4 linked regions of the Saccharomyces cerevisiae S288C genome follow. The main gene of each other region encodes a partner of the protein of the gene in region 2 in a complex. Each region holds a gene or a part of one and is shown on either strand. Other genes may lie near its edges. The genes, in order: MRPL27, MRP35, MRPL36 and MRPL44.

Region 1 (2,486 bases), on a different chromosome or scaffold from region 2:
ACAGAATGTCGCTAAAGAATTGAACAAAGTCATTCCAATCGCAGCTGTTACGGGTGCATCCGTCTTAAGTTTGATCACCGTTATCGGTGAATCTTTGGGTTTGAAAGGTAAAGCTGCTGGTATAGTTGTTGGCATTGCTGGTGGGTTTTCTTTGCTAGAAGTCATTACCATTGAATACCAACAAAGTGGCGGTCAAAGTGCTTTGAATCAAGTCTTGGGTGTTCCAGGTGCTATGTAAACAAAGAAAAGAAAAAAAAGAAGGAAAACAAAAAAGAAGATCAAATTCTCTCTGCTACGCGCATTTATATACGTACGAACTTTTTGCTCTTCTTTTAGATTTATATGTATCTATATTTAACTCAAAGAAAGATGACATATGGTGCAATGTCTAAGCCATGTTTTATTTGATTTTGTTTTACAATCTTAAGTTTTATTTTTTATCTACCTATAAAGTCGAAAACTAGTATTTACACGCATATTGAAGAAAGATTATAAATAACTTATCCACGCTCCTTATAACATGAAGTGTCGGTGGCCCCTTCGCTTTGTACCCTCCCGTTTACTATGTATTCTTTTATCTTTAATAACTGTAAACGAGGATCTAATGGGCCGCCGCTAAATCCTTTAAATTCGTGTTTTAGAGGTGGTACATTTGCGTTAACGTAGGGCTTTAATTCGAAATTAACCATATCTGGGGTAACATAGGTTCTGACTTTCTTCCAGTTTATCACATAACCACCGAATTTTGTATGTCTACCAATCCCTGAAGCTCTTGTCCCTTTGTACATCGTCTTGTTACCTTGCTTCGTGGTCAACGGCACTCTTTTATTCCCAACTTTTGATAACCCATAAAATAATTCACCATCTCTGTATTTCTTCCAAGGCCTGGTAAGAGCATTAATAGAGGTCTTACTAAATTGAGAAATGGGTGAGCCTTTCATTTTAGTTATTTGCTGTCCTCACTTTCAAGGTAATCTTTGATTCCCGTAGTTTTTTTAAGCAAAAATTGGTGTATACTACTTCAATAGTCCTATCTTTTGTATTAATTCTAGCTTTTCAAAAATAATCCGTGAAACGTGATAATAATAATTATGTATCTCAAGAAAATCATCATCAAATAGCCGCCAACAAGCTGCAGTGAAGCAACATTGAAAGTCCTTCCCGCAAGTATTAGGCTCTGTTTAAAGATTACTAACCTTGTTAATAATTATAATAACACTTCACAGCTATTTTCGTATTCCTTTTCATAGTTAAGGGCATTTCACTTTGATCTAGAATGATCCTCTGATTTCGATGTTTTGTTATATGGTAAGGAAGCTCTTGAGCATTGCTCACAATTACTGCTGCAATTAGAAGTTCAATGAAGATGGTATCTTTTTTTTTTTTTCTCATGAGAGGGAATACCGACTTTACCATAAACTTGAGTGATAATCGCATTGTGCGCCGCGAAAAGCTGTGGCACCAATATCAATAAAATGTGTGTAACTGAATTATTTAAGTGAAAAACTATTTCGAGAAACCGAACAACCCTGTAAGGAAAAGTGAAAAACGAGGGCAGAAGTAATTGTGAAATCATGTACGATAGCAGGGGTGTCGCATTGCACTCTGAACTAATTCATAGGTGGAATCACGCTTTTTCCATCTTATCCATTGTTGCATTTCCAAAAAAAAGATTGTTGTTTGCTGGTAGCCAAGACTCCAAGATATTGGTTTTTGATCTTCCCACATATAATCTAATACATACGATTAGACTAGGCGAATCACAAGAGGAAACGCATACCAGATCTTCGGTTTTGTGCTTGACAGGATCAGAAGATGAAAACTTTTTATTTTCAGGCGGCGCAGATTCTTTGGTGAGAATTTGGTCCATTGGCGAAAAGACCATTAGAGATGACTTTCTACCTGTTACTGAAATAGCCACTGTTTACTCAGTGACCGATATTGGTGATATTTTCTCATTGGCATATTTGGATTCGTTGGAAACTATTGTCTTTGGCTGTCAAAATGCAAGCTTACTATATGTTGAGAACTTGATTCAGAAGATTGAAAAAAAATCCTCTGATGGAGTAGAAAATATCAATAAATTACCGCATAGAAGATATGATAAGTTCTTTGATTCGTTAGGTCCGACTGGATATAGTTCAAATTCATTATCTCAAACTTCATTGACCTCTCTACAAGAAAACTGTGGCGCTGCCATCATAGAGGTTCCCTCCGAAAACATTATTAAATATGCACATTATGGGTTTATTTATTCTATTAATAAATTGTGTCCCAGGTTTAATCAGTTATTGGAAAAAAGCTCACGAACTTCTGGTGCAGAGCACATAATTTCATCCGCTGGTGATGGAATAAGCAAGCTTTGGGAGTTCTCTAAAGATAAAGGGCAAAACACTGTTAAAATCTCCTTGATAAACGATAAAATCGACAATGAAGATAGCGTCATATCCCAAACTATTGAGTTCCCATTTTTATATTGCGGGTTG
Region 2 (8,436 bases):
ACAGTGCTAATCATGAGCGATGACTTGTTTTCTAAGGCTTTGGAGAATCCCGACCAGGACTTGAACGTGGAATTGCCCAAGGATGATGTTGATTTAGGTCTTTTAGGTGATGGTGGGAACGAGAGGAAGACCGATGAACCGGTAGCAGACGCAGAAAGATCAACAGGCCTAGGATCCGGCTCTTCTGAATCCGAATCAGATTCCGGTTCTGATTCTGATTCTGATTCTGGCTCTTCAGGTAGTGAGGATGATTCTGCAGATCAGGACGTTGAAGGAGAGGACGAAGGTGGTGACGCGATTGAAAATGAAGACGAAGACGAAGACCCTTCACCTTCCGGTCCTATACTATCGAAGAACGAAATACTAGAGGAAACTGTTCCTGAACTACCGGAAGATTATGAAATTTCAGAAAAAACGATCATCACTCCTATTGGTGTTTTGAAGTCTGCATTTGAAAATAATATAATCATTCACGCCACGATGTCGGGCGAAAAGCGTGTTTTAAAAGAGGGTTCCATTTTCTGTCTCGAGGATAGAACTTTGATCGGGATGTTGACGGAGGTGTTTGGACCCTTGCAAAACCCATTTTATAGAATTAAGTTGCCCGATTCAAAAAAAAACTTATTCGATGAATTAAAAGTGCGTTTGGGTGAGAAAGCCTTTATAGTCACCCCTGATGCCCACTGGATAGATACTTTCGAGTTAAAGCGCAACAAAGGTACTGATGCGTCTAATGGGTACGATGAAGAATTACCTGAAGAGGAACAAGAATTTTCCGACGACGAAAAAGAGGCCCTTTTCAAGAAAATGAAGAAACAGCAACGGCAACGAAAGAAAAGGGACAACCGCAAACTAGCCAACGATAGTGACAATGTCAAGGTAAAGAGAGCTCGGCAGCCCAAGGCCAACAGTTTACCTAAACTGGTACCGCCGTTGGGCATGAGCAGTAATGCTCCGATGCAACATGGGTACAAATCAAGAAACGCACGTGAAAATATCAAGCGTGAATCCAGTGCTACCTCTAATCGGAATGGCTCCTCCCCAGTGCCAATCACACAGCACCACCAACAACAGTTTTCTGCAAATAATTATCCCTTCCCTCAACAACCAAACGGTATGCCTTATCCACCATACTCACCTTTCCCTCAGCCGACTAACTTCCAGTATCCACCTCCACCATTTGGGCAGGCGACACCGGCCCAATTCTCCAACACTGTTCCATATGGTAGCTTACCTCCCGCATACAACAATATGTCGCCGCCAACACAGCAGTCGTTCATGCCAATGACCCAAAGTCAACCGCCACTTCCATATGGCGTACCTCCCATGAATCAAATGCAAAACCCAATGTACATCCAACCGCCACCTCAAGCACCTCCTCAGGGAAATGGTAATTTCCAACAAGTAATGGAATTACATCAAATACTTTTGCAGCAACAGCAACAGCAACACCAGTATCAGCATCAGCATCAGCAAGATCCAAGAACCTAGAGTCACGATTGAAATATTTAATAATAAATGCTATGTATCATAGATAAACTAGAAAGAGGCAAGAAAAATTTAACAAGTTTCTTAATTGAATATTATTTTACTGTCACTACCATTATTAGACGCCATCTCAGCGTGTGACATGATAATTTTTCTTTTTTTCTTTTTTTTTCCTCAAGGCGATGATATGAAACTTTCAAAAAATTTATATGTAAATAAAAAAGTTCTACGAGGGTTTAAATACGGAAGTTTATTTAGAAGATATTTATACTCTGAATACACACGTAGAGTACAGTAAAGGTTTTTTAGATCTACTAATGACCATATCGTTGAGCAATATAAAGAAAAGAGACCATTCTAAAATTTCCGATGGAACTTCTGGTGAATCATCGCTTGTAAAAAGGAAACAGTTGGAAAGCGCCACCGGAGATCAAGAGGAAGAATATACAGACCATGAAATCATTATAGAGCCGTTGCACTTTGCTAATAATAATAACACTGTACTCACAGATTCAGAAAATTATCTAAGATGGCAAAATACCATCTCCAACGTTGTTAAATCAGTGGTTTCCATTCATTTTTCACAAGTTGCGCCATTCGATTGCGATTCTGCTTTGGTATCTGAAGCTACCGGATTTGTCGTGGATGCTAAATTAGGTATAATTCTGACCAATAGGCACGTCGTTGGTCCTGGTCCGTTCGTAGGCTACGTAGTTTTCGATAATCATGAAGAATGCGATGTTATACCAATTTACAGAGATCCTGTTCATGATTTTGGGTTCCTCAAATTCGATCCGAAAAACATAAAATATTCTAAGATCAAAGCGTTAACGCTAAAACCAAGTTTGGCTAAGGTCGGCTCAGAAATTAGAGTTGTCGGTAATGATGCCGGTGAGAAATTAAGTATCCTAGCAGGTTTTATTAGTAGAATTGACAGGAACGCTCCAGAATATGGTGAGCTGACATACAATGACTTCAATACAGAATATATTCAAGCTGCTGCATCTGCTTCTGGCGGTTCAAGTGGTTCTCCAGTCGTAAATATAGATGGGTATGCTGTGGCTTTACAGGCAGGTGGCTCTACAGAGGCATCTACTGATTTTTTTTTACCGTTAGATAGAATTCTTAGAGCGTTAATTTGCATCCAAACCAACAAACCTATCACACGTGGTACGATTCAAGTTCAATGGCTGCTGAAGCCTTATGACGAGTGTAGAAGATTAGGTTTAACTTCAGAGAGAGAAAGTGAGGCTCGTGCTAAATTTCCCGAAAATATCGGACTGTTGGTAGCAGAAACCGTTTTAAGAGAAGGCCCAGGCTATGATAAAATTAAAGAAGGTGATACTCTAATTTCAATAAACGGTGAAACCATATCTTCTTTCATGCAAGTGGATAAAATTCAAGATGAAAATGTTGGGAAGGAAATCCAATTGGTTATTCAAAGGGGCGGTGTCGAATGTACTGTCACCTGCACTGTTGGTGATTTACATGCTATCACCCCTCATCGTTATGTAGAGGTTTGTGGTGCGACTTTTCATGAATTATCATATCAAATGGCAAGGTTTTATGCGCTACCTGTCAGGGGTGTATTTTTAAGTAGTGCATCAGGGTCTTTCAACTTTGATTCAAAAGAAAGAGTGGGTTGGATTGTGGATTCTATAGACAATAAGGAAACCCCCGACTTAGATACATTTATTGAAATTATGAAAACTATTCCAGATCGTAAGCGCGTTACTGTACGATACCACCATCTAACAGATCAGCATTCTCCACTTGTTACTTCTATTTACATTGACCGTCATTGGTGCAATGAATTCAGAGTTTACACAAGGAACGATACAACTGGTATTTGGGATTACAAAAATGTTGCTGATCCACTTCCAGCCGATGCGTTGAAACCTCGTTCGGCCAAAATTATTCCTATTCCTGTTAATAATGAAAAAGTTGCAAAATTGTCATCATCGTTATGTACAGTGGCTACAATGGCAGCAGTTCCATTGGATTCACTTTCTGCTGATATTTTAAAAACATCAGGCTTAATCATTGATGCTGAAAAAGGTTATGTCCTAGTGTCCAGAAGGGTAGTTCCACATGATTGTCTTGATACTTTTGTCACCATTGCAGATTCCCTTGTAGTTCCAGCCACAGTAGAATTTCTCCATCCAACTCACAACTTCGCTATTGTTAAATATGATCCAGAGTTAGTAAAGGCTCCACTAATCACTCCCAAGCTATCTACCACCAGAATGAAACGTGGTGATAAGCTTCAGTTTATAGGTTTTACCCAGAATGATAGAATTGTTACTTCAGAGACCACTGTCACCGATATTTCCTCTGTAAGTATTCCAAGTAATTTAATTCCGAGGTACCGTGCCACTAATTTAGAAGCTATATCTATCGACTGCAACGTTAGCACCAGATGTAATTCCGGTATTTTGACAGATAATGATGGTACAGTAAGAGGTTTATGGCTTCCATTTTTAGGCGAAAGATTAGAAAATAAAGAAAAGGTTTATTTGATGGGATTAGATATAATGGACTGTAGGGAAGTTATAGATATCTTAAAAAATGGCGGTAAACCAAGAGTAAGTATAGTTGATGCTGGGTTCGGTTCAATTTCCGTTCTGCAAGCCAGAATTAGAGGTGTGCCCGAAGAATGGATCATGCGTATGGAACATGAATCAAATAACAGGCTACAGTTTATCACTGTTTCTAGAGTTTCTTATACAGAAGACAAGATTCATTTAGAGACCGGTGACGTCATTTTATCTGTGAACGGAAAATTAGTCACTGAAATGAATGATTTGAATGGAGTTGTAAGCTCAGCTGATGGTATTTTGCCATCAGCCATGTTAGATTTTAAAGTTGTTCGTGATGGTAATATTGTTGATTTGAAAATTAAAACCGTGGAAGTTCAGGAAACCGACCGTTTTGTAATATTTGCAGGTAGTATCTTACAAAAGCCGCATCATGCTGTTTTGCAAGCTATGGTTGATGTTCCAAAGGGTGTCTACTGTACATTCAGGGGAGAATCGTCACCGGCGCTCCAGTACGGTATATCTGCCACAAACTTCATAACTCATGTCAATGAAATTGAAACACCTGATCTAGATACATTTTTGAAAGTTGTCAAAACAATCCCTGATAATAGTTATTGTAAAATGAGGTTAATGACTTTCGACAATGTGCCCTTCGCTATTTCACTGAAAACGAATTATCATTACTTCCCTACTGCAGAATTGAAGAGGGACAACATCACGCACAAATGGATTGAAAAGGAATTTACCGGCAACAGCCAAAGTGAAAAATAGGCCAGATTTGATAAAACATTTATATATGTATGTATGTATGTATACATCAAAGTCTTCCATAAAGAACAGTTTTTTTATAGACTATCACAGGAGCGTTAAGATTTACAAGTTTTTCAATCATTTTGAGGGGTTAGGATTATGATGTCGAGATGGTTGCAAGCGCCTGACGAAATAGTATTTAATTACTTCAACGCTTGAATTCTCTAAGGTATTATCGATTGTATAAATTTATGGTTATTGTTTCATACTTATTTATATACATGAAGACCGAAAGCAAATACTCAAACAATTGATTTGGGGTTAACGGTGCGTTTGGTTTAGAGGAGAACATAATTATTCCACCTTCAATGATAGGGTAATAACCGCTTTAGATGCTTTGAATAAGCTGGATGGGCAATTTTCCTTCCGGTTAAGGCTTTTAATGATCTATGGGACCAGCCTATATTGCCATGTTTTCTTCCAGCTATGCCTCTTTTAAAAGTATTACCGGTACGCCTCCACCTCTTTGCTGTACCTTTATGAGTTTTCATTAAAGTTCTTATTGTTATTGTAGAAACGTTATTGAATAGAAAGCCGTTGAGCTTCACTTTGAAACTATTTGAACCTTTAAGTAGTGGTTTGAGTACATTGAAAACAGACATGTTTTGGTTTTGGTCTCCTCGTTGCCGTTTGTTATGCAAGCTAATTTTCATGATAGATATATATACTATCTTTTTTGTATTTGACCAGATTTTTTTAGGCTCCGCAAATTGGCGAGGGCTTCAAGGTTGAAAAAATTGGTTGTGGTTTATACGCACTGCTAATTATTTACAGAATGAAAGAGAAAAAGAAAAAGATATATATATATATATTAGAACATGCATACGTGTATATTGAAACAAAAATGAAAACAAAAATTTTCAAAGTGAGATGTCAATGTCATTGCTGCTCTTCCTTTGTCATTTAGTCTACTTTGTTACTTAGTTTTTGTCTTCTCCTAAAAGTTTTTAAGTTTATGTTTACTGTTTACATTAAACCCTGTTCGCGTAATTTAGCTAAAGTTTCTTGAATCTTTTTAGCCAATACTGGATCAGACCTAATTCTTTGTTGAACTTTAGCGGCTTCAGCAAAAGTAATGGCTTGTAATTTCTCTTCCATAGTTCTAGCCAAATCAGCGGATTCTTCGAATAATGTAATAGCTTCATCGATATCTTCCTGCTGCAATTTCATTTGAGCTAAACCGATTTTAGCTTGCTCACTTCTTGGGTCTAGTTTGGACGCTTTTTCTAATAAATTCGTGGCTTCAATAAAATTTTCTACTGTTGGATTTCTTGTCAACAAAGTGGCTTTACCGACCAAAGGCGCAATTCCAACATAAATACCATCCAACTTGTTTTCTAATTCAATAGCCAAATCGTACTGCTTCAAAGCCTTGTCAAAATCGTTCTTGTCTGTTAAAATTTCAGCAAAGAAATTTGGAACTTCTGGTGCCTCTGGAAATTTTCTCTTAGCTTCACTAAACAAAGTTTCACAGTCATCAAACTTGTTTTCACGGTACGCTAGACATGCTAATTGAATATAAGGGAAGATATTCTCTGGGTCTAATTCCTTAGCTTTATCAAAATCTTTTCCTGCTTGATCATAGTTTTGTAAAATGAAATTCATTTGGCCGCGGTGATAGTAAACAGAAGAATTGTTTGAGTCCAGTTTCAGCGCTTTATCGAAGTAGTTATAATATTCAGTCGAGTCATTTCTATCAGCCATGATTAATGCCATGTAGATATATGAATTGACTCTTGGGAACAATTCAATAGCTTTCTTGATGTCTTCGTGAGCTCCCAATGGATCGTTTTTCAAGAACTTGAAAATACCTGTGTGTTCTAATGAGATGGCCAATTTTTCCTTTAACTTTTCATCCTCATTGTTCTTGTCCAATTGTTCTTCAAATAACCTTGCAGCTTTCGTGAAAGACTCATCAGCCTTGTCGTAACTTTCGGGAGATCTTTTGTACAAATTACTTAAACCGTTCATTAACTCTTTATCAGCTTCATTGGATTCATCATAATTGGCAAAAGTCAACTCGGGTTTGAAAATACCAAAGAAAGAGGCCATGGATGTAACTGAAGGCAAGTTTTCCTGCTTGTCTTTGCGTTCTTTAGCTGGTTGGGTGGATAATTCAGTTGGAGTAGCAGTAGCGGTGTCAATATCGCCAAACTTTTCTTTCAATTTAGACATAGCTTGCTTATTCAAGTTCCTCTCCAACATTGGTTCAATAGAGGCGTCATTGAAGTCACCATTTAGAGACAATACAGACAAATCGAACATCGCATCCGCAAATTTTCCTAGCCCTTCGTTAGCAGAAGCTCTTCTCAGTAAAACTTTTGAGTAGTCTGGTTTTAATTCAAGAGCCTTAGTACTCATTTCAACAACTTTTTTCAAGTCACCCACAGAAACATAGCAAGCCGATAAATTCGAGTAGAAAACTGGGTCTTCTTTCAATTCTAATGCCCAATTATAGTACTTAATAGCATCGTCATATTTTTTATTTCTAAAGAACTGGTTACCTTTGTCCTTTAACGCTAATGCATATTTATCCTTTTCTTCAGCGGTGAAATTTGCCTTATTGGAAAAATCTGGTTCGCCATTACTAGAAACCGGGTAGATAGGAGGATTTGATGGGGCTGTAGATTTCTTAGCACCTTCAGTCTCCTTTTGAGAGTCCTTTGTGTCCTTTTTTTCATCTTTGTTGATCGTGTTCTTTTTTCCTCGTTGTTGTTGTTGTTGCAATTGGTTGTAATAATAGTAGGCACCGATGGCAGTACCTGTAGCAGCAACGGTTGCCAAAATGGCTGTCTTGTTCCTTGTAATGAAGCTCTTCATTGGCAATTGAGAACCTAGATGTGAGCTGTAATTTCACTTCCGAATCTTGCTTCTCTTTTATGGTGAGTGGTGGAGTTCCTCTTAATTCCTTTAAGATCTTTTCCACTGGTCGTCCAAACACAAAAGGTGGTTTAACGCCATCTTATTCATCGTATACAGTGATATTGTATATTTTAAACTAATGGCAATGAAACTCTTTCTTTCCTTCCACTTAATCCTTGAATGTTTGTTTCTGAAATGATATAACACTGTTGAACCTTATGGAAACATTTGAAGTTGCCTGCACAGTGTTTCTTTCAATAAAGTCATCTTTATTATTTTTGAATAGTTGACTTAATTACATCATCATTATCTACGTATTATGGAGTTTTTTTCAGTTACGCAGTGAAAAACTGTTATAGTACCGATGAGATGAGTGAGACGAGCATAAAATTAACTTCGGTTTCTGTATTTGCTATTGTCCATCCCTATCCTAGTTTTAAAAATATAATTCTATCAAGTTATGGAGTGCCAGAGGTGCCCTGCATCTGCCAGAAATCCAGCGACAGTTGAGTCTAGAAAGGAAAAGTTTTGCGATGAATGTTTCATCAAGTTTGTTAGTACTAAACAAAGGAAACAAATGATGAAGGATGAATATTTCAGGAACCTATTTAAAGTTATATACCCATTTGAAAAAGAAGGATCCGTCTCTAAGATTCTGCTCCCCTTATCACATTCTGATTCAGGATCTCTGGTTATGTTAGATATTGTGCACGACTTGCTATTGGAACAAACTAAG
Region 3 (8,716 bases), on a different chromosome or scaffold from region 2:
CCGGTAGTTAACTATATATAGCTAAATTGGTTCCATCACCTTCTTTTCTGGTGTCGCTCCTTCTAGTGCTATTTCTGGCTTTTCCTATTTTTTTTTTTCCATTTTTCTTTCTCTCTTTCTAATATATAAATTCTCTTGCATTTTCTATTTTTCTCTCTATCTATTCTACTTGTTTATTCCCTTCAAGGTTTTTTTTTAAGGAGTACTTGTTTTTAGAATATACGGTCAACGAACTATAATTAACTAAACATGGGTAAAGAGAAGTCTCACATTAACGTTGTCGTTATCGGTCATGTCGATTCTGGTAAGTCTACCACTACCGGTCATTTGATTTACAAGTGTGGTGGTATTGACAAGAGAACCATCGAAAAGTTCGAAAAGGAAGCCGCTGAATTAGGTAAGGGTTCTTTCAAGTACGCTTGGGTTTTGGACAAGTTAAAGGCTGAAAGAGAAAGAGGTATCACTATCGATATTGCTTTGTGGAAGTTCGAAACTCCAAAGTACCAAGTTACCGTTATTGATGCTCCAGGTCACAGAGATTTCATCAAGAACATGATTACTGGTACTTCTCAAGCTGACTGTGCTATCTTGATTATTGCTGGTGGTGTCGGTGAATTCGAAGCCGGTATCTCTAAGGATGGTCAAACCAGAGAACACGCTTTGTTGGCTTTCACCTTGGGTGTTAGACAATTGATTGTTGCTGTCAACAAGATGGACTCCGTCAAATGGGACGAATCCAGATTCCAAGAAATTGTCAAGGAAACCTCCAACTTTATCAAGAAGGTTGGTTACAACCCAAAGACTGTTCCATTCGTCCCAATCTCTGGTTGGAACGGTGACAACATGATTGAAGCTACCACCAACGCTCCATGGTACAAGGGTTGGGAAAAGGAAACCAAGGCCGGTGTCGTCAAGGGTAAGACTTTGTTGGAAGCCATTGACGCCATTGAACAACCATCTAGACCAACTGACAAGCCATTGAGATTGCCATTGCAAGATGTTTACAAGATCGGTGGTATTGGTACTGTGCCAGTCGGTAGAGTTGAAACCGGTGTCATCAAGCCAGGTATGGTTGTTACTTTCGCCCCAGCTGGTGTTACCACTGAAGTCAAGTCCGTTGAAATGCATCACGAACAATTGGAACAAGGTGTTCCAGGTGACAACGTTGGTTTCAACGTCAAGAACGTTTCCGTTAAGGAAATCAGAAGAGGTAACGTCTGTGGTGACGCTAAGAACGATCCACCAAAGGGTTGCGCTTCTTTCAACGCTACCGTCATTGTTTTGAACCATCCAGGTCAAATCTCTGCTGGTTACTCTCCAGTTTTGGATTGTCACACTGCTCACATTGCTTGTAGATTCGACGAATTGTTGGAAAAGAACGACAGAAGATCTGGTAAGAAGTTGGAAGACCATCCAAAGTTCTTGAAGTCCGGTGACGCTGCTTTGGTCAAGTTCGTTCCATCTAAGCCAATGTGTGTTGAAGCTTTCAGTGAATACCCACCATTAGGTAGATTCGCTGTCAGAGACATGAGACAAACTGTCGCTGTCGGTGTTATCAAGTCTGTTGACAAGACTGAAAAGGCCGCTAAGGTTACCAAGGCTGCTCAAAAGGCTGCTAAGAAATAAGAGTAATAATTATTGCTTCCATATAATATTTTTATATACCTCTTATTTTTATGTATTAGTTAATTAAGTATTTTTATCTATCTGCTTATCATTTTCTTTTCATATAGGGGGGGTTGGTGTTTTCTTGCCCATCAGATTGATGTCCTCCAACTCGGCACTATTTTACAAAGGGTTTTTTTGTAAGAGAAGGAGAAGACAGATACTAAACCATACGTTACTCGAAACAAAAAAAAAAAAAATGGAAAAAGCTGCTATCAACAAAAGACGGCCTCATCAAACCTAAAGAAACCATGTCAGCGTATGTATATACCTTGTAATTTACGTTTCCTTAAATCTTCTTTCTACTAACGTTTTCATTATTCTATACTCTATGACCAATAAAAACAGACTGTACTTTCAAAATTTACCCAGTAGGCCAGCAAATAAAGAAAATTATACCAGATTACTTCTGAAACACATTAATCCCAACAACAAGTATGCCATTAATCCGTCGCTACCCCTTCCCCACAATAAATTACAAATATCATCACAACCGCTGATGTTACTAGATGATCAAATGGGCCTTCTTGAAGTTTCTATTTCAAGATCATCAAAGATGACTAACCAAGCATTTTTAACGTTTGTCACTCAAGAAGAAGCAGACCGGTTTCTAGAAAAATACACGACAACAGCATTAAAAGTTCAAGGTCGTAAAGTGAGAATGGGAAAGGCTCGAACAAATTCGTTATTGGGTCTTTCAATAGAAATGCAAAAAAAAAAAGGTAATGACGAAACGTACAACCTTGATATAAAGAAGGTGCTTAAAGCAAGGAAACTTAAACGCAAGTTACGTAGTGATGATATATGCGCCAAAAAGTTCAGGCTTAAAAGGCAAATAAGACGCCTGAAGCATAAGCTGAGATCAAGAAAGGTAGAGGAGGCTGAGATTGATAGGATTGTAAAAGAATTTGAAACCCGTAGATTGGAAAACATGAAGTCTCAGCAAGAAAATCTAAAACAATCGCAGAAACCTCTTAAGCGGGCTAAAGTGTCCAATACAATGGAAAATCCACCGAACAAAGTCCTTCTTATACAAAATTTGCCAAGCGGCACTACCGAGCAATTATTGTCGCAAATACTTGGCAATGAGGCTTTAGTTGAAATCAGATTAGTTAGCGTTCGTAACCTAGCTTTCGTGGAATACGAGACCGTTGCTGATGCTACGAAAATCAAGAATCAGTTAGGCTCCACTTACAAGCTACAAAACAATGACGTTACCATAGGATTTGCTAAGTAGAATTTCCTTTGCGGAAGTATACCTCGAGTAAAGAAATTCACAGATAAATTTGAATAACGTTCTCCATTATGAATAAATATGTATTTACAAGCTTAGAAAATAATGTGCTCTTTATTTACCAAATAATACAGTTCTCATTGCAGTAAATAAGCTTTCCTTTTTCTTACCGTCAACGGCATTTATTAACCGTTGATAATATTGGGGATTTCCTGCAGGTTTATAGAGCTTATCGCCAATATCGTAATAGTTTCTGAATTTATTATTCATTATAGTGCTCAAGGCACGAATTTGCTCGTTGATGCTTTCTTCCGTGAATTTCTCATCTACCATTTTATTTTGAATTTTGGTTAACATCTCCTTATTCAGTCCTAATGGACCGGAAGTTCTGTTAATTATACTTTTTATTTCATCTAATGAGGGTTTTTTCTCTTTTATAGATTTTCCTTTGTCATCTACATTTGGCAGACCCGCTACACGTCTAAATCTTGCTATTTGTACATCCCTGAATGAGACCAAGTGGTGTATACGATCCTTTGGATATTTTTCCAGTAAATTAACTAATTTTTTGGCAGAATCCCTGACGACCTGGGAAGAAGACATTTTGGCACTTGCTTGTGGAATACGGAGTTTAACTTGGTAAGCTGATAGAGAGAATGTTTCAATGAAGGCTACCTTTTTTTCTTATAATGTTGCTACCACAGGAAATCTTGATATACGTTAATGTTTTGGCCCCTACAAGGCCGGAAATATTTCGCTTTTTCTTGATATCAGAATTTTTCGCATGTCCGACCATGCGCAGAGCTGCTATGAAAGTACTTTAACTATTAGTGTGAGGAATGGCTAAATAAACAGCAGATGTGATTTCCGCACTTCTTTTATAAACTTCCAAAATAATCGTATTAGTGGACAGTACATAATCATATCTTGCAATACGTATCAATAGTAAACGAATTATTTATTCATACACACATGTATATACTTCTCGCTTCTTTTTTTAATTTACATGTTTGGCGATATATAGTTAAAATTAAGTCATTTATTTAGTCAGTTTCAGCTTCAGCTTCAGCTTGGGCAATAAAAGGAGTCAAATCCTTGGTACCTTCTTCCCAAGAAGCACCATTGTAAGTGATATCGCGGATAGCCTTGATGACATTTTCGACGGAACCTCTAACTTGCTTGGTGGAATCTCTTTCTCTCAAAGTGACAGAATGGTCTTTGGCAGATTCAAAGTCAATGGTGACACCGAATGGAGTACCTAATTCGTCATTACGGGCATATCTTTTACCAATGGAAACTCCAGAATCATCAATCTTAAATGGGATTTGAGACTTTCTTAAGATTTTGGCGACTTCAGTAGTAACAGGAACTAAATCTTTGTGGTTAGATAAAGGAACTAAAAGAACCTTTGTTGGAGCAACCAAAGGTGGGAAGGAAAGAACACTTCTGGCATTGTCTTCTGGTCTGTTCCAGAAAGAGTGCTCAAAAACGGAGTAGATGATACGGCCAATACCGAAAGATGGTTCAATGACACTAGGAACATATTCTCTAACGTGTTCAACCTTTGTTCTTTGTTCGATTTTAACCAATTTATCGTCCAACTCGACTTCGCCATCAACACCATCAACCTTTATAGTAAACTTGCCATTTGCCTTCAATAACTCAGCCTTGGAAGCCAAGTCATCTTGAGACATATTCAATAGATGAGATTCAACTTTTGGTGCATCTTTTCTGAATTTTGGACCGAACAATTTTTTCGTCAAATCAATTTCCCACTTGGTGACTTCAATTGGATTATCTAATTTTTGTCTAACAACCAATTTTTCTTTGGTCTTTTTGGAATGAACGGTCAAATCATAGGCAGATCTATCAGCACATCCGACACATTCAATCCACCCGTAAGATGTCTTCAATTCACCATCCCAACAGTCAGCAGCATAATGTGCCATTTCATTAGCCATATGTTGACGGAATCTCAATTTGGACTCATCAACACCAATTTTCATCAAAAATTGGTAAATTCTGGCAATAAAGTAACCCAAAGTTTCATTATCGACCATTCTTGAAGCAACTGCTTCACCAACTGTCTTGACAATTGGTTCAGTAGAACCAGCTTCTTGAACATCACGAGGCAAAAAGGAAAGCTTGATGTCTTTGATTTCATTAAATTTTGGATGAGATTTGTCCAATGGGTCAACGAAATGTTCAATCTCTGCCATCAAAAATTCACGGACTCTTAATAAACCGGCCCTTGGGGAAATCTCATTTCTAAATGATTTACCGATAGAGGCTGAGGCAAAAGGGGTCTTACTGTTGTTAAATTCTAACAACTTGTTAAAATTCAAGAATTGACCTTGGGCAGTTTCTGGCCTCAAGTAACCCTTTAATTGACCAGATGGGCCAATAGCCGTTTCAAACATCAGGTTAAAAGCCCTTGGAGATTCTAAAGTTTCTCCGGTGACTGGGTTACCGATATCGTATTTTTCCATCAATTCACCTAATTCTGGGCCGGAATAACCATCTATTTTAGCCAAAATTTCTTCATATTCTTTGACAACGTCGTCATCCAATTTGACTGCTTTAATTTGTTTAACTTTTTTCTTTCTCTTCTTCTTTTCGGCATCGTCCTTAGCAGCGGCATTAGCATCCTCGACTAAACCTCTGGCTTCTTGGTCACCCTTTAAGCGAGCTTCCAAAACTTCTTCGACTAAATGGTCAGCTCTGAAAATCTCACCAGTCTTCAAATCTCTACACATCCAATCAGAAAATTTGTCAACATGACCTGAGGTCTTCAAAACCTCATATGGAGTTAACATAGTACAATCAACTTCCAACATATCTTCTTCCAAAATAAAATGCTTTCTCCAGGCGTCAATGATGTTGTTTTGGAATGCACAACCTGGTGGACCATAGTCATATAAACCAGAAACCCCACCGTACAAGTCAAAAGCTGGGGCATAAAAAAATCTTCCTCTCAAAACACTTTCTAGCTGTTCTCTGTTAAATGGAACAGCGGCTCTAGCCTTCTTGATATCTTCTACACTCATTCTTTTAATCTTAACCGATTTTTTAACAATCTGAGAGTAAAATCGTCTACTGATATTGAAGAACGACAATTTTTCTTGAAAATCAACACGAATGCAAAAAGGGAAACTAAAATAAAAGAAATCCTCAAAAGTAATTGAACAGATTTCGAGTCCTAATTGCAAGTAAAATTATGTATACAAAGTACGTGATAAGTATCGCAGCAGTGATTCAACACTCGAGAAGAGTAAAAATTTTCAATTTTTTTCCACTGCGCTGAAATATTACGAGGCGTAGAAAATGATCACTACAATGCCGTTGCTGCTTATTGCAGCGTAAGTGAGCTTCATTCACAGACCATTTGCCTCGATAATCCATGAATCATATCTGGTTCATATTATGTTTGTAAATGTGTGTCTTGTTGCACTTAATCTATCGCGATAGCGCCAAACCAAGCGTTCGCAGAATCTTCGTTGTCAATATATACATATGTAGACGTATGTGTATATGTTGCGGTATATACAAGGCTGTTTATGTAGTCTTCAAACAGATGCGATTGAGATCTATGTCCCAAAAGGAATATAAATTGGTTCGAGAATAGAAAAGTAAGGGGAGCAAACACTATTCACTTCTTGTCTCTCTTCTTACTGGCCAACTTACCTGATTTGATCTGTTGTTCACTATCGTCTAACAGAGATAGATAGTCATCCATACCGAACGCTTTTTCAGAAACGTCTTCCTTCTCCTCCTTTTTAATCTGTGTTTTCTTTTTATTTTCTTCAGATAGTTCAACTGTTTCAGAGCTTGAATTTGGGGTCGTTGAATCGACAGAAAACAAAGAGCTATACCTCTTGTTAAATCTGTCCAAGCTACCACCAGAATTAGCATCCACAACGACTAGGTCATCCCTGCTAGGATTCCACAGCGGATTATTTCTCTGGTCTTGAATTAATCTAATTTCACCCTTTGGATATTGGGATCTCCGGATAACTACACTTCCATCACTCAACTCCATTTTGACATTGAATTGGTGATAAATAGCCGGTCGTGACTTCCCCAGTTGAATTTTTTTTGCAGGCCTTCTTGGCAAAGTAATTCTTGTAGAACCAGGATATGACCCTGTGGAAGCAAATCGCTTCGCAAATATAGACTTCAACATTAGGAGTGAACAAAACGTGTGTTCGTTTGCGTTGGTACCCGTTCTTTCTGGAGGCATTCTTAACTTTTAGGAATAATAATGATACCCTTTCATTTTAGTTATTTGATTTTGATGCATTTTGCACGAGATAATCGCTCTTTACGGTTTGGGGACAAAACTCAGAAATATCACATACGTAGTTATGGTTTTATTGCACATTTGGCATATTTTGATATTGAAATAAAAGAAAACCTACTTATTACAGATCGACTTCATCAACAAATCCCTTGAGCTCGCTTTTCATTGTTTCCGCGGTTTTAGGATCTAGTTTAGCTATTTTATTTATGATATCTTGGAAGCTCGCTGTTTTAACATCAAAACTTTCTTGTTCTTCTTCATCTGCATCAACGTCATCCACGTCATCGTCTATACTTGCAGGCACCTTCAAGTTCTGATCAGTGTCCATCTCTTCATTTTCCAAAGCAGCGTCGTCTGGCTCTTCAGTTATGGCGCCATTATCATCAAAATCATCACCAGCAGCGATACCCTTATCCTCCTCTATGGCATTTGAGGACATTTGACTACCTGCATCCATATTTATGTCCCCATCAGCATCTTTATTGGTGTTAACACCCATTCCCTCTTCTGAGTTCTTGTTTTCGGGTACCATGGATTCTTTAACAAATAACATTGTCTTGAAATACTTCAACTTGTATTTATTATACTCATAATTTCCTTGAACCATGCAACCAAGTTCGTATTTTACTATCCTTCTTATCTTGACCAAGTCTAATTCTTTGAACCATCCAGTTAGTTCATTCGCCTTATCTAAATATTCGACGTTGTGAAAAACTTCTGCAATGTTTGGCTCACCAATTAATAAATCAATCTGCAACATCAGGTACCACGGTATTCTTTTTCCATCAAATTTGAACCTGCTGTCAATACCGCCTGGAGTGTCTGATTCGAATACCAGGGGTGGTGGCTTTGGTACATTCTTTTTCACTATGGGAGAAGATAGTAATTTCCTTTCAATCTTAAAATATTCTGTTTGATATTGGGCGTATTCCACTGAACTTCTGGGGTCTATACCAAATTTGATATATGTATTTCTCCAAGGCCCCATTGTGAAACGATAAGATATGAGTGCCAGCGCTATCTTCATAGTATGGTGTATCTTCTTCGGGACAATCCCATCAAGATGTCTTTTAACCCAAATTGGACGTCTAGCGAAGAGCTCTCTCAAAATTTTCAAGCATTCCTCCAGCGATTCATAAAATTTAGAGTCACTTTTAGTGCCTGGATAGACTTTTGTTTTCTTCGCGACCTCAAAATCGTACAGGACTTGTTCATGAGCTTGGGACGGTATAACTGTCTTATCACTAAGATCATGAACAAACAACTGATAGTTTTTGATATATGTTCCCTTCACTTCTGTGACACCGTTTTTTTTTTTTTTCGCAAATGGATTAGCTTTATATTTATAAAGCAGGGGGAAACCAACCATTGATAACTTAGGAGGTGGCGGCAGTTGGAAATCTGTACTCGGAATTTTAACGCTACGGTCTAAGATCAAATTCCCGATGTTTTCCTGAGGTTGAGAGTCATTATCTGGTACAGAATTGACAAAACTTTTGAAATTATTCCATTCCAGA
Region 4 (8,645 bases), on a different chromosome or scaffold from region 2:
TTGGAAGGCTTATTCACGTGAAAAAGATCACCGGACTGTACAACCATGTCTACGTTGTTATTTTTGGCCAGCATCATGACTTCATGGAAAGTTTTCCAAGAATCATCGCCAGTAATGGGATCATTTTCGTTGTAACCCACATGATTATCTGTAGTAATTAAAATCCTTATTGTGTCTGGATCAGGATAGTCCATAGTCGAGTTTTATCGGATCTGAGCAGGTACAACTTGCGTCAATTGTCTGCATTCTCTTAATGTTGTTTCCACATTGTCTTCCTTACAAGCGTAAAGAGTAATTTAATATGGCTATAATGTTTGGGTTCTATTCGATTGGCCATACTATTTAAACCTTAAGTCAGTTTGGTTGGGTATATCTATCTATACGTTTGTGTAATTGCATATATATTATTTACAGGCTTGCTTGTGAACTCTGACTTTGTTTTTGTTAGAATATTAGAAACGTGCATGCCTACAATGAGATTTGTAGATGCCTTTATTTTCTCAATGCATTTCCAACATATGTTTGAGATCCAGCTGTTTCGAGTGACGGTCGAAATGATTGGCTAATTCCTGAAAGTTCATGTTTGATGGATCGACTTCCATTTCTTTTTTGTCCTTGTAGGTTACTTTCACAAGAGGCTTGACTTTATTGTAATCTGAGATAATTTCCGATTGAATCTGCGTGCCCATGTTTCGTTGCGTTGGTGGAATGGCAGCAAGTACTAACCTAGCAACTTTCGCTGAAATCAATGATATGACCATATCATTTGCTGTTAGTATTTGTGATAGATCGGTTCGAGCCTACCTCAGCCTAGTTTAGCCAAATCTTTAAATCATGATGGCCAAAGGTAAGGAGAACGAATAACAGAGCGAAAAAAAATACATACCTTCCTTGCCAAAGGGATTAAACCTGACAATTACCTTACTGAAGTATTTAGTTATCATGGCGAAGATATAATTAAGCTCGTTTCTTCTTCACATCTGTTCATCCTCTATTTGAGGATCCATAAGTTTATCTCTTTTATTTCGCCGGTATATTCCGTAGAATCGCGCAAAACGGTTCAGGGAAGAATGAAATAGCTAAAAAGTCTTACATGTATAAAAAGTATACAGATTTACTTAGTTTAGCTAGGTTTATCCACGGAAGATATGATGAGGTGACGCTTGGTTTGTTGGAAAGATTAAAGTGTCTGCAATTACAGTATTTTGTTTTCTGGAAGTTGCATAGACGATCAGATCAGCCACGTCATCAGCCATCAATGGGGTAGTATCCTTGTAAACATTCTTGGCTTGTTCCTCGTTACCTCTGTATCTAACTAGTGAAAATTCAGTCTCGACTAGCCCTGGTGCAATTAGAATGACTCTAATTTTAGTGTTGATGAGCTCCTTTCTCAAACTATCAGTGAACGCCCCCACGGCAAACTTAGAGGCACAATAGATAGAACCTGTTGGGTATGCGTCTCTGCCAGCGATTGAACCCAAATTTACAATATCTCCTGAATTCTTGGCTTGGAATATGGGCAGTACAGCTTGTGTGATATTGATTAAAGCCGTGACGTTGGTGTCAAACACGTCCTGGATATCCTCCGTTGCGATCTGGCCCACACGGTCACTGCCAAGAGCCTTTCCGGCATTGTTCACCAGAATGTCAATATCCTTGAACTCTTGTGGCAAGTTTTCAATGAAGGGCTTGATTTTTTCTGCTTGAGTGATATCCAGCTGGGCCACATGAACTTTTGCGTTTGGAAACTCTTGATCAATGGTCTTCTTCAATTCCTCGAGCTTTTCTAATCTTCTAGCAGCCAAGATCAGTTTCATATCACCATTGGATGCCTCCAAGTACTCTAATGCGGTCGCCTTACCAATACCAGCAGATGCACCTGTAATGAGGACAGTCTTCTTAGCCAATCTTTCTGCAGCTTTTCTACCTTGGGACATTATCAAAATACGTTCTCAATGTTCTATTTCCCGCCTTTACTAGTGAGCTTGAACACTTTCTATGCGCCATGCTGTTTCATCTATCCTCCTTTCTTCAGCTTTTTATATCGCTCCGATAAGAAAAATCGGTGTCGTGCCTTAATATATATCAATGCTATACGTCATAGAGTAGAGTCGTATAGTGTATAAGAGTAATATATAGATGATAAAGAGAACTTACTCATCACCCTCTGCACCAAATAGCATCATCATATCGAGATCGTTCTGGTCGAGTGTTTCCTCTGCGGGGGCTTCATCAAGTTCGCGCACCACCTTGTTCTCTTGTATGTGTTCCCGTTCATGCACATTATCCTCGTCCTCATCGTTTTCTTCGTCATCCTCCTCGTCTTCGTCCACTTCATCCTCTTCCTCTTCTTCTTCCTCTTCCTCTTCTTCTTCCTCGACGTTATTTGCAGTTTCTGCGTCAGAGCGATGTTGATGTTGTTTCTGGACAGAATCTTCGGTTTGTTGTAACTGCTTACGTTTTAGTTCAGCCTCCTTCTCGAGCTTTTTAATGCTATCTATGAACCTGCTTTTCAAAAGAGGATTCGTGGCTTTACTTAATTTATGCTTGGTATGGGCCAGGGTGGTCTCTAGTTCGTTCAATTCGTCCGCAAGTAATTCAGTGTGCTGTCTGTTTTCGTCTTTTTCGTCATCAGATTCACTTTCCCCACCAGCAGCTTCAATGTCACCGTCGTCATCATCGTCATCATCTTCTCCGCCTGTGTCTTGATCCACCTCATCACCGACTTCCTCTTGTTGTTGCTCCTTGTCTCCCTCGGCACCGCTACCTTCCTCTTCACTTTCAAAAGCAGCGCCTAGGTCAAGATCCTCCTCTTCTTCTTCTTCCATTCCTTCTTCTCCCTCTTCTTCTGCACCTTGTTTTCCTACTGCCGAAGCAATTGTGTGTATCTCTTCTTTCTTTAAAGCAGGTCTAGATAAAGGCTCTCCAGGCTCCTCTTTGAAATTTTCCCAACTAGAAACACGCTCTTGCCTCGCTTGCAGTTCACTTTTATCAACCAGATCATAGCTGACCTCTTCTGCCTGTTTATCTTGCTTCAAAAGCATATCAACCACTTTTTCTACATAGTCTATTTCATTAGGGTCCATTTTCCGTCTAAATCGTCTATTTCGAACATTGTACAAAGGTGGTGATATTCCATGTTTGTAGTCATAGCCCTTCAAAGCTATTTCTTTCAAATGTTTAGCCTCCATATCACTTAAAGGCGCACCATTGTATCCTTTTAAGAAGGTTTCTTTATTCTCCCAAATTTCATCCTCTATGCCTTCAAAATGCTTAACAACCAGATCTTCTGTATCAGGGGCTTCTAGGGCATATACTTCTTCCTCTTCTTGTATAGGTCTTATGCATAGTAGCATTTGTGATACGTCAAATGTCTTCAGGAGGTTTTTTCTATCGACGCTCTTGTTCACTTCTATAACTGTAGGCAAATCTACTAGAATGGCACCATACATTACATCGTTTATTGTTACGACAGCGTGTCTCTCGTTTTTCCACTTGATACTTATCCCAGAATAATCACCTGATTCTAACGAATTTTTTACAAACTCTAACTGTATGTCTGGAAGTATCCTTAATATCACACCACTCTCTATGAGAGGGTCATCTTCAATATCAGAGGCTTCTGAGTCGTACGCTTCCCCAGGAATTCTAATAGGTTTGAGACGTAGCTTTGGCGCCTTGTGTATCTTCTTAACTGGTTCTTCATTTTTTTTCAAGTTTAACTTTAACTTCAATGAATTCTTCTTCTCTTTGCCGTCAGCACTCTCTTTCTTTTTCTTTAGGTTTATCTTTAATTTAGGCTTTGGTTTGATATCTTCATCAGTTACCTTTGTCTTTATGCGAATTCTCTTTAGTTTAGGCTCGCCTTCTAATGGTTGATCCTTCTCTCCTGGTCCTCTGGGTTTTTTAATTCTTATAACAGCCATATTTACGTCGATTATTGCGACTAATTTGAATGGTAACACTGTCTCTTGTTTATGTAGTTCTTCCTATTCTTCTCGCTTTTATTATTTTTGCTAGCAAGTTTTGTCTTGAAATTTTATTTACTGTTCTCATCGGCCGAATAACAGCGATATTATTGTATGATGATAATAGAGATGAAACTTTACAAATGCGGTTACTACGTCAGTCAATACCATTCTTTGAAGTAAGAAGGCTCAGCAACTATGTCTGTTCCAATCCCTGGTATTAAAGATATCTCCAAACTTAAGTTCTTTTATGGTTTCAAATATTTATGGAATCCAACAGTATACAATAAAATCTTTGATAAGCTGGATTTAACTAAAACGTATAAACATCCAGAAGAATTGAAAGTACTTGACCTCTACCCTGGTGTTGGTATACAATCAGCTATTTTTTATAATAAATATTGCCCCAGGCAATATTCTTTATTAGAAAAACGCTCAAGTCTCTACAAGTTTCTGAATGCAAAATTCGAAGGGTCTCCATTGCAAATTCTAAAAAGAGATCCATATGACTGGTCAACCTACTCGAATCTAATTGACGAAGAGCGAATATTTGTTCCTGAAGTTCAATCCTCAGATCATATTAATGATAAATTTCTAACCGTTGCTAATGTGACGGGGGAGGGTTCTGAAGGTCTTATAATGCAGTGGCTGTCCTGTATTGGAAACAAGAACTGGTTGTATAGGTTTGGTAAAGTAAAGATGTTATTATGGATGCCAAGCACAACAGCTAGAAAACTTCTAGCTAGGCCAGGCATGCATTCTAGATCCAAATGTTCAGTAGTAAGGGAGGCATTTACAGATACTAAACTCATTGCCATATCAGACGCAAATGAATTGAAGGGATTTGATAGTCAATGCATAGAAGAATGGGATCCCATTTTATTTAGTGCTGCGGAAATATGGCCTACAAAGGGAAAGCCAATTGCGTTAGTAGAAATGGACCCAATTGACTTCGATTTTGACGTAGATAATTGGGATTATGTCACGAGGCACTTAATGATTTTGAAAAGAACACCCTTGAATACTGTCATGGACTCGCTGGGACATGGTGGCCAACAATATTTTAATAGTAGAATCACTGACAAAGATCTGCTAAAAAAGTGTCCGATTGATTTGACAAATGACGAGTTTATATATCTAACGAAATTATTCATGGAGTGGCCTTTCAAACCAGATATTTTAATGGATTTTGTTGATATGTATCAAACAGAGCACTCTGGTTGAAAAAAGTGCTTTTAAAATTTACTTCATTATTTAATAAATATGTGATTTTAGCGTGTGAATATAAAAAATACATAGAACTCAATCTTCGTTAACACGGAACCATCTTGTAATCAAGAAGCGAGAAGCGGAACTAAAACTTTAAGAAAAGGAGCTCTACGAACCGTCAAAGCTAAATTGATCGATAGAAATTGCTTCTTGAAACTTTACATTCTATGTACTTTACAAATATACTTTACAAACTTAGCCATTTATATTACTTTACAGTTAAAAATCCATCAGGAATTATTCGTCTGCTTTTTGAGATTCATGGCTAGCGACATACTCAGTAGCTTTAGCTTTAACGTATTCAATGGTCTTTTCGTCACCTTCAGATTCCTCAAATTGTAACCATTTATTAAAGAAAAACTTAGCCTGCTTCCTTGTTATTTTTTTGGTTATTATTCTCTCAAATAAATCTTCCACCTTCTTCTTATCTTTTGCCTTCACTTCCTGGTCTACGTAAACGTTCCACAGGTCAATTCTCTTTGGCGCATCAGCAACCAAACCTTCGAATAATGACCGACCCCTTTCTGGGTCACCCTTTGCAAATTCTAATTGAGCAAACTTGCGGACAACCTCGATATGATTACGCTTTGGTAGGGCCTTCAAAGCATTACCTAAAATAGTACGTGCCTCTTGCTCTTCATTGTGGCTGATCAAAAAATCACCCCACGATACCCAGATAGAAACTTTCTCGCCGCCAAATTTCTTAGCTGTAGCTTTGAATAATTCTGCTGCTTTGTCGAACTTTTCACTTATTTCATAAATACCAAGCAGTTTTGTATGAATAGTATATGAGTCCATATACTGACAAGCCCTGCTAAACACTTCTTCTAAAGTTTCTTCGGTACCAAAAGTATTTTCTAAATTCAGCATTGCAATCCAAATATTCAACTTCTCGGCTTCTTCTCTGAAGTTGATGGTCTTTAGCGCACGTTCTGCGAGCTCTCGAGCCTTCTCGATCTCACTCAGTTGTAGTTGGAAAGCCATATAGTTCATCCACACTACGGACGAATTTGGATTACCGATAAGTAGACGTTCAAAATCGGCAACAGATTCTGGTGCCCTAGTGTTGATATCAATGGTCTTATCCTGAACAACATTTTCCTTTCTTCTCTTGTGCTTGTGTTTCTTATTTTCAGTAAAGTCTTCTTGATCTTGGTCAGACTCTTCTTCTTCTTGCGCTTGATCCAAAATGGAAGCAGTCCAATCAAAACCAGCACTCAAGGATAGCCCATCCGAAGATGTTTCAGGCTTCCTATCGGCAACTTCGGTGTTTTGGTCTCCGATATCAGATTCGCTGTCGGAATCGTTGAAGCCAGCATCTGCCATGACTTCATCTTCATCCTCCTTTTCCAGTTGATCCACAGTAGTAGTGGTGGTGGTAGTAGAAGCCAATTCGGCTTCTTTAGAGAAATGAGACGCTTTCAAGCTCAATGAAATTTGTTTTTTTTCTGGATTTGTTTTCAAAACAATAGCTTTTACTCTGTCCCCAACACCAAACAAGGCAGAAAGATCTTCAGGTTTTTTGTCCGCAATTTCAGTAATATGTGCCAAACCAGTAACATTAACAGTGTTATCTAGTTTGACGAAAACACCAAAATCAGTGACGCTTTTAATTGTACCCTCGAAAACATCACCAGCCTTAATGTCTGAATAGGTCTTTAGAACCTTTAAATCACCATTTATTTCGGATTCTCTTAGGGTTAGAGAAATACGAGAATCTTCATCGCATGTAACGACTTTTCCCAAAACGTATTGCATAGGCTTGTAAAACTTCTTCCATTCCTTCAAGTAAGAATCAGATAGTTTACTAACAGGGACAAAGGCTTCAACTTTCCTACTCAAGTAAACAAAAATACCTTTGTCATTCACATTCTTAACAATACCATCTACAATCTCGCCTTGCTTCAAATCTTCATGAGATTTGATCGAACGAGTTTTTGCAGTAGCAGGACGAAGGGATAGTTCAATTTTCTTATTCTGTTCATCAACAGATAAAACGGTAGTTGGAATGACGTTGTTAATTTTGTCTTCAAAAGCTTCCTTCAATGTTAGGGAGAAATCATTTAACGCATCCGTAATAAAGGAAATACCAGTCACTTTGTTACCAAGGTCTAACAAAACATACTTTTCAGCTATTTTTAGAACACGACCTGGCAATTCATCACCAACTTTAATTGTGGACATATTTATGTCAACATGACTCTTTCCAATGGCATTGACAAAGCCATGCTCGCGGTCAATAGAGGCAACTTTCACTTGGAGGGCTGAACCTAATGGGAAAACAGATTCAATATTTTCTGAAAAATTTGAATCGTTATCAGCTAAATCTAGTAGAGAAATTCTCGCCTTCAAAACTGGAGAAATTGTTAGCCATAGGTGGTTACCTGATGAATTGTTGACAAAGCCAGTTAACTCTTGCCCAATGTTGATTTCCTCAAGACTTTTTGTGTGCACTTCCTTAGATTTTAATTCTGATGGTTTCATGGATAATTCCAAAACGCTAGCCTTTGAGATTTTGTGTGTAATCGGCAAGAACTTATGGCTCTTGACATCGTGATTACCTATGATTTTTACCTTGATGACATCGTCTTTTTTGTAATTACTCAACGGCTGTTTCTTATCTGTAATTTCTTCATACGTGTCAAACACTTCAGCAATGTCCACTCTGCCATGCAAATTTGCCGCTAAAATAACATTCAATTGATTTTTCTTGACGCTCTTGATTTTTGCTTTAACAATACTACCAATAGACAAATCGTCCCAGCTTTTGATAGACGAATCAACAGGATCTTCGATATTAGATTCAACTTTCTTCTTCTCTTCTTTGACCTTTGGAGCTTTTAGAGATAATAGGAATTTCTGGTTTTTGTCGTCTGTTCTTAATAAATAGACGGTAACGGATTGGTTAATATAAAACGCCTTGCTGATATCAATATCCCTACTATCAACAGCGTAACTTGGTAAAACCAACCCAATGAACTTACCGTTAAATGCAACAAAGAGACCCTTATCAGAAATGGATTTAATGTAAGCGTGCATTGGTACATCTTTATTTAGATCCTTAACATCATCATATGTTAATGGAAGAGTCTCCTTTTTAGCGTCTTTAATCAGAGAACTTTTGAGGGACATATTGAAAACGCGGGTTCTTGTATCTTTATCAATTACCAAACCAGTCAGTTCAGTGCCGATTCTGAGCTTTTTCAACTGAGCCCTATTTTGTTCAATTCTGGAATCAGAGAGATGACCAACGTAGATGACACCACGCAAGCCAACATCAGGAATTTCAACAATAACAGAATCTTTGGTTTTTTCGATAACATGGACAGTAATGATTGTTCTGCCTGGAACAATATTTTCAATGGTATCTTTTTGTTGGGCAGCCTGTTCATTTGAAACTTTGCATGT

What was found.
Region 1: MRP35 (region 2) and MRPL27 share a complex: the UniProt entries of both Saccharomyces cerevisiae proteins name them as parts of the mitochondrial large ribosomal subunit.
Region 3: MRP35 (region 2) and MRPL36 share a complex: the UniProt entries of both Saccharomyces cerevisiae proteins name them as parts of the mitochondrial large ribosomal subunit.
Region 4: MRP35 (region 2) and MRPL44 share a complex: the UniProt entries of both Saccharomyces cerevisiae proteins name them as parts of the mitochondrial large ribosomal subunit.

Annotation. Positions count from the first base shown.
Region 1 is NC_001134.8:766,695-769,180, reverse strand, and holds MRPL27 (mitochondrial 54S ribosomal protein mL41 MRPL27), read right to left. Parts: upstream 942-2,486; coding exon 501-941; downstream 1-500. Other genes in the region: SSH1 (Ssh1p), read left to right, coding at 1-238; glutamine amidotransferase subunit DUG2, read left to right, coding at 1,575-2,486. UniProt on the Saccharomyces cerevisiae protein: Component of the mitochondrial ribosome (mitoribosome), a dedicated translation machinery responsible for the synthesis of mitochondrial genome-encoded proteins, including at least some of the essential transmembrane subunits of the mitochondrial respiratory chain.
Region 2 is NC_001146.8:392,880-401,315, forward strand, and holds MRP35 (mitochondrial 54S ribosomal protein bL35m MRP35), read right to left. Parts: upstream 5,492-8,436; coding exon 5,144-5,491; downstream 1-5,143. Other genes in the region: NAF1 (RNA-binding snoRNP assembly protein), read left to right, coding at 13-1,491; NMA111 (Nma111p), read left to right, coding at 1,806-4,799; protein channel TOM70, read right to left, coding at 5,805-7,658; NCS2 (Ncs2p), read left to right, coding at 8,161-8,436. UniProt on the Saccharomyces cerevisiae protein: Component of the mitochondrial ribosome (mitoribosome), a dedicated translation machinery responsible for the synthesis of mitochondrial genome-encoded proteins, including at least some of the essential transmembrane subunits of the mitochondrial respiratory chain.
Region 3 is NC_001134.8:477,422-486,137, forward strand, and holds MRPL36 (mitochondrial 54S ribosomal protein bL31m MRPL36), read right to left. Parts: upstream 7,083-8,716; coding exon 6,549-7,082; downstream 1-6,548. Other genes in the region: TEF2 (translation elongation factor EF-1 alpha), read left to right, coding at 250-1,626; MUD1 (Mud1p), read left to right, coding at 1,917-1,924, 2,014-2,902; CBP6 (Cbp6p), read right to left, coding at 3,014-3,502; GRS1 (glycine--tRNA ligase), read right to left, coding at 3,943-5,946; transcription factor TFIIIC subunit TFC1, read right to left, coding at 7,321-8,716. UniProt on the Saccharomyces cerevisiae protein: Component of the mitochondrial ribosome (mitoribosome), a dedicated translation machinery responsible for the synthesis of mitochondrial genome-encoded proteins, including at least some of the essential transmembrane subunits of the mitochondrial respiratory chain.
Region 4 is NC_001145.3:720,460-729,104, forward strand, and holds MRPL44 (mitochondrial 54S ribosomal protein mL53 MRPL44), read right to left. Parts: upstream 945-8,645; coding exon 887-944; intron 740-886; coding exon 501-739; downstream 1-500. Other genes in the region: MRE11 (MRX complex nuclease subunit), read right to left, coding at 1-194; ORA1 (oxidoreductase), read right to left, coding at 1,134-1,937; TATA-binding protein-associated factor TAF7, read right to left, coding at 2,154-3,926; MTF1 (RNA polymerase specificity factor), read left to right, coding at 4,167-5,192; RRP5 (Rrp5p), read right to left, coding at 5,475-8,645. UniProt on the Saccharomyces cerevisiae protein: Component of the mitochondrial ribosome (mitoribosome), a dedicated translation machinery responsible for the synthesis of mitochondrial genome-encoded proteins, including at least some of the essential transmembrane subunits of the mitochondrial respiratory chain.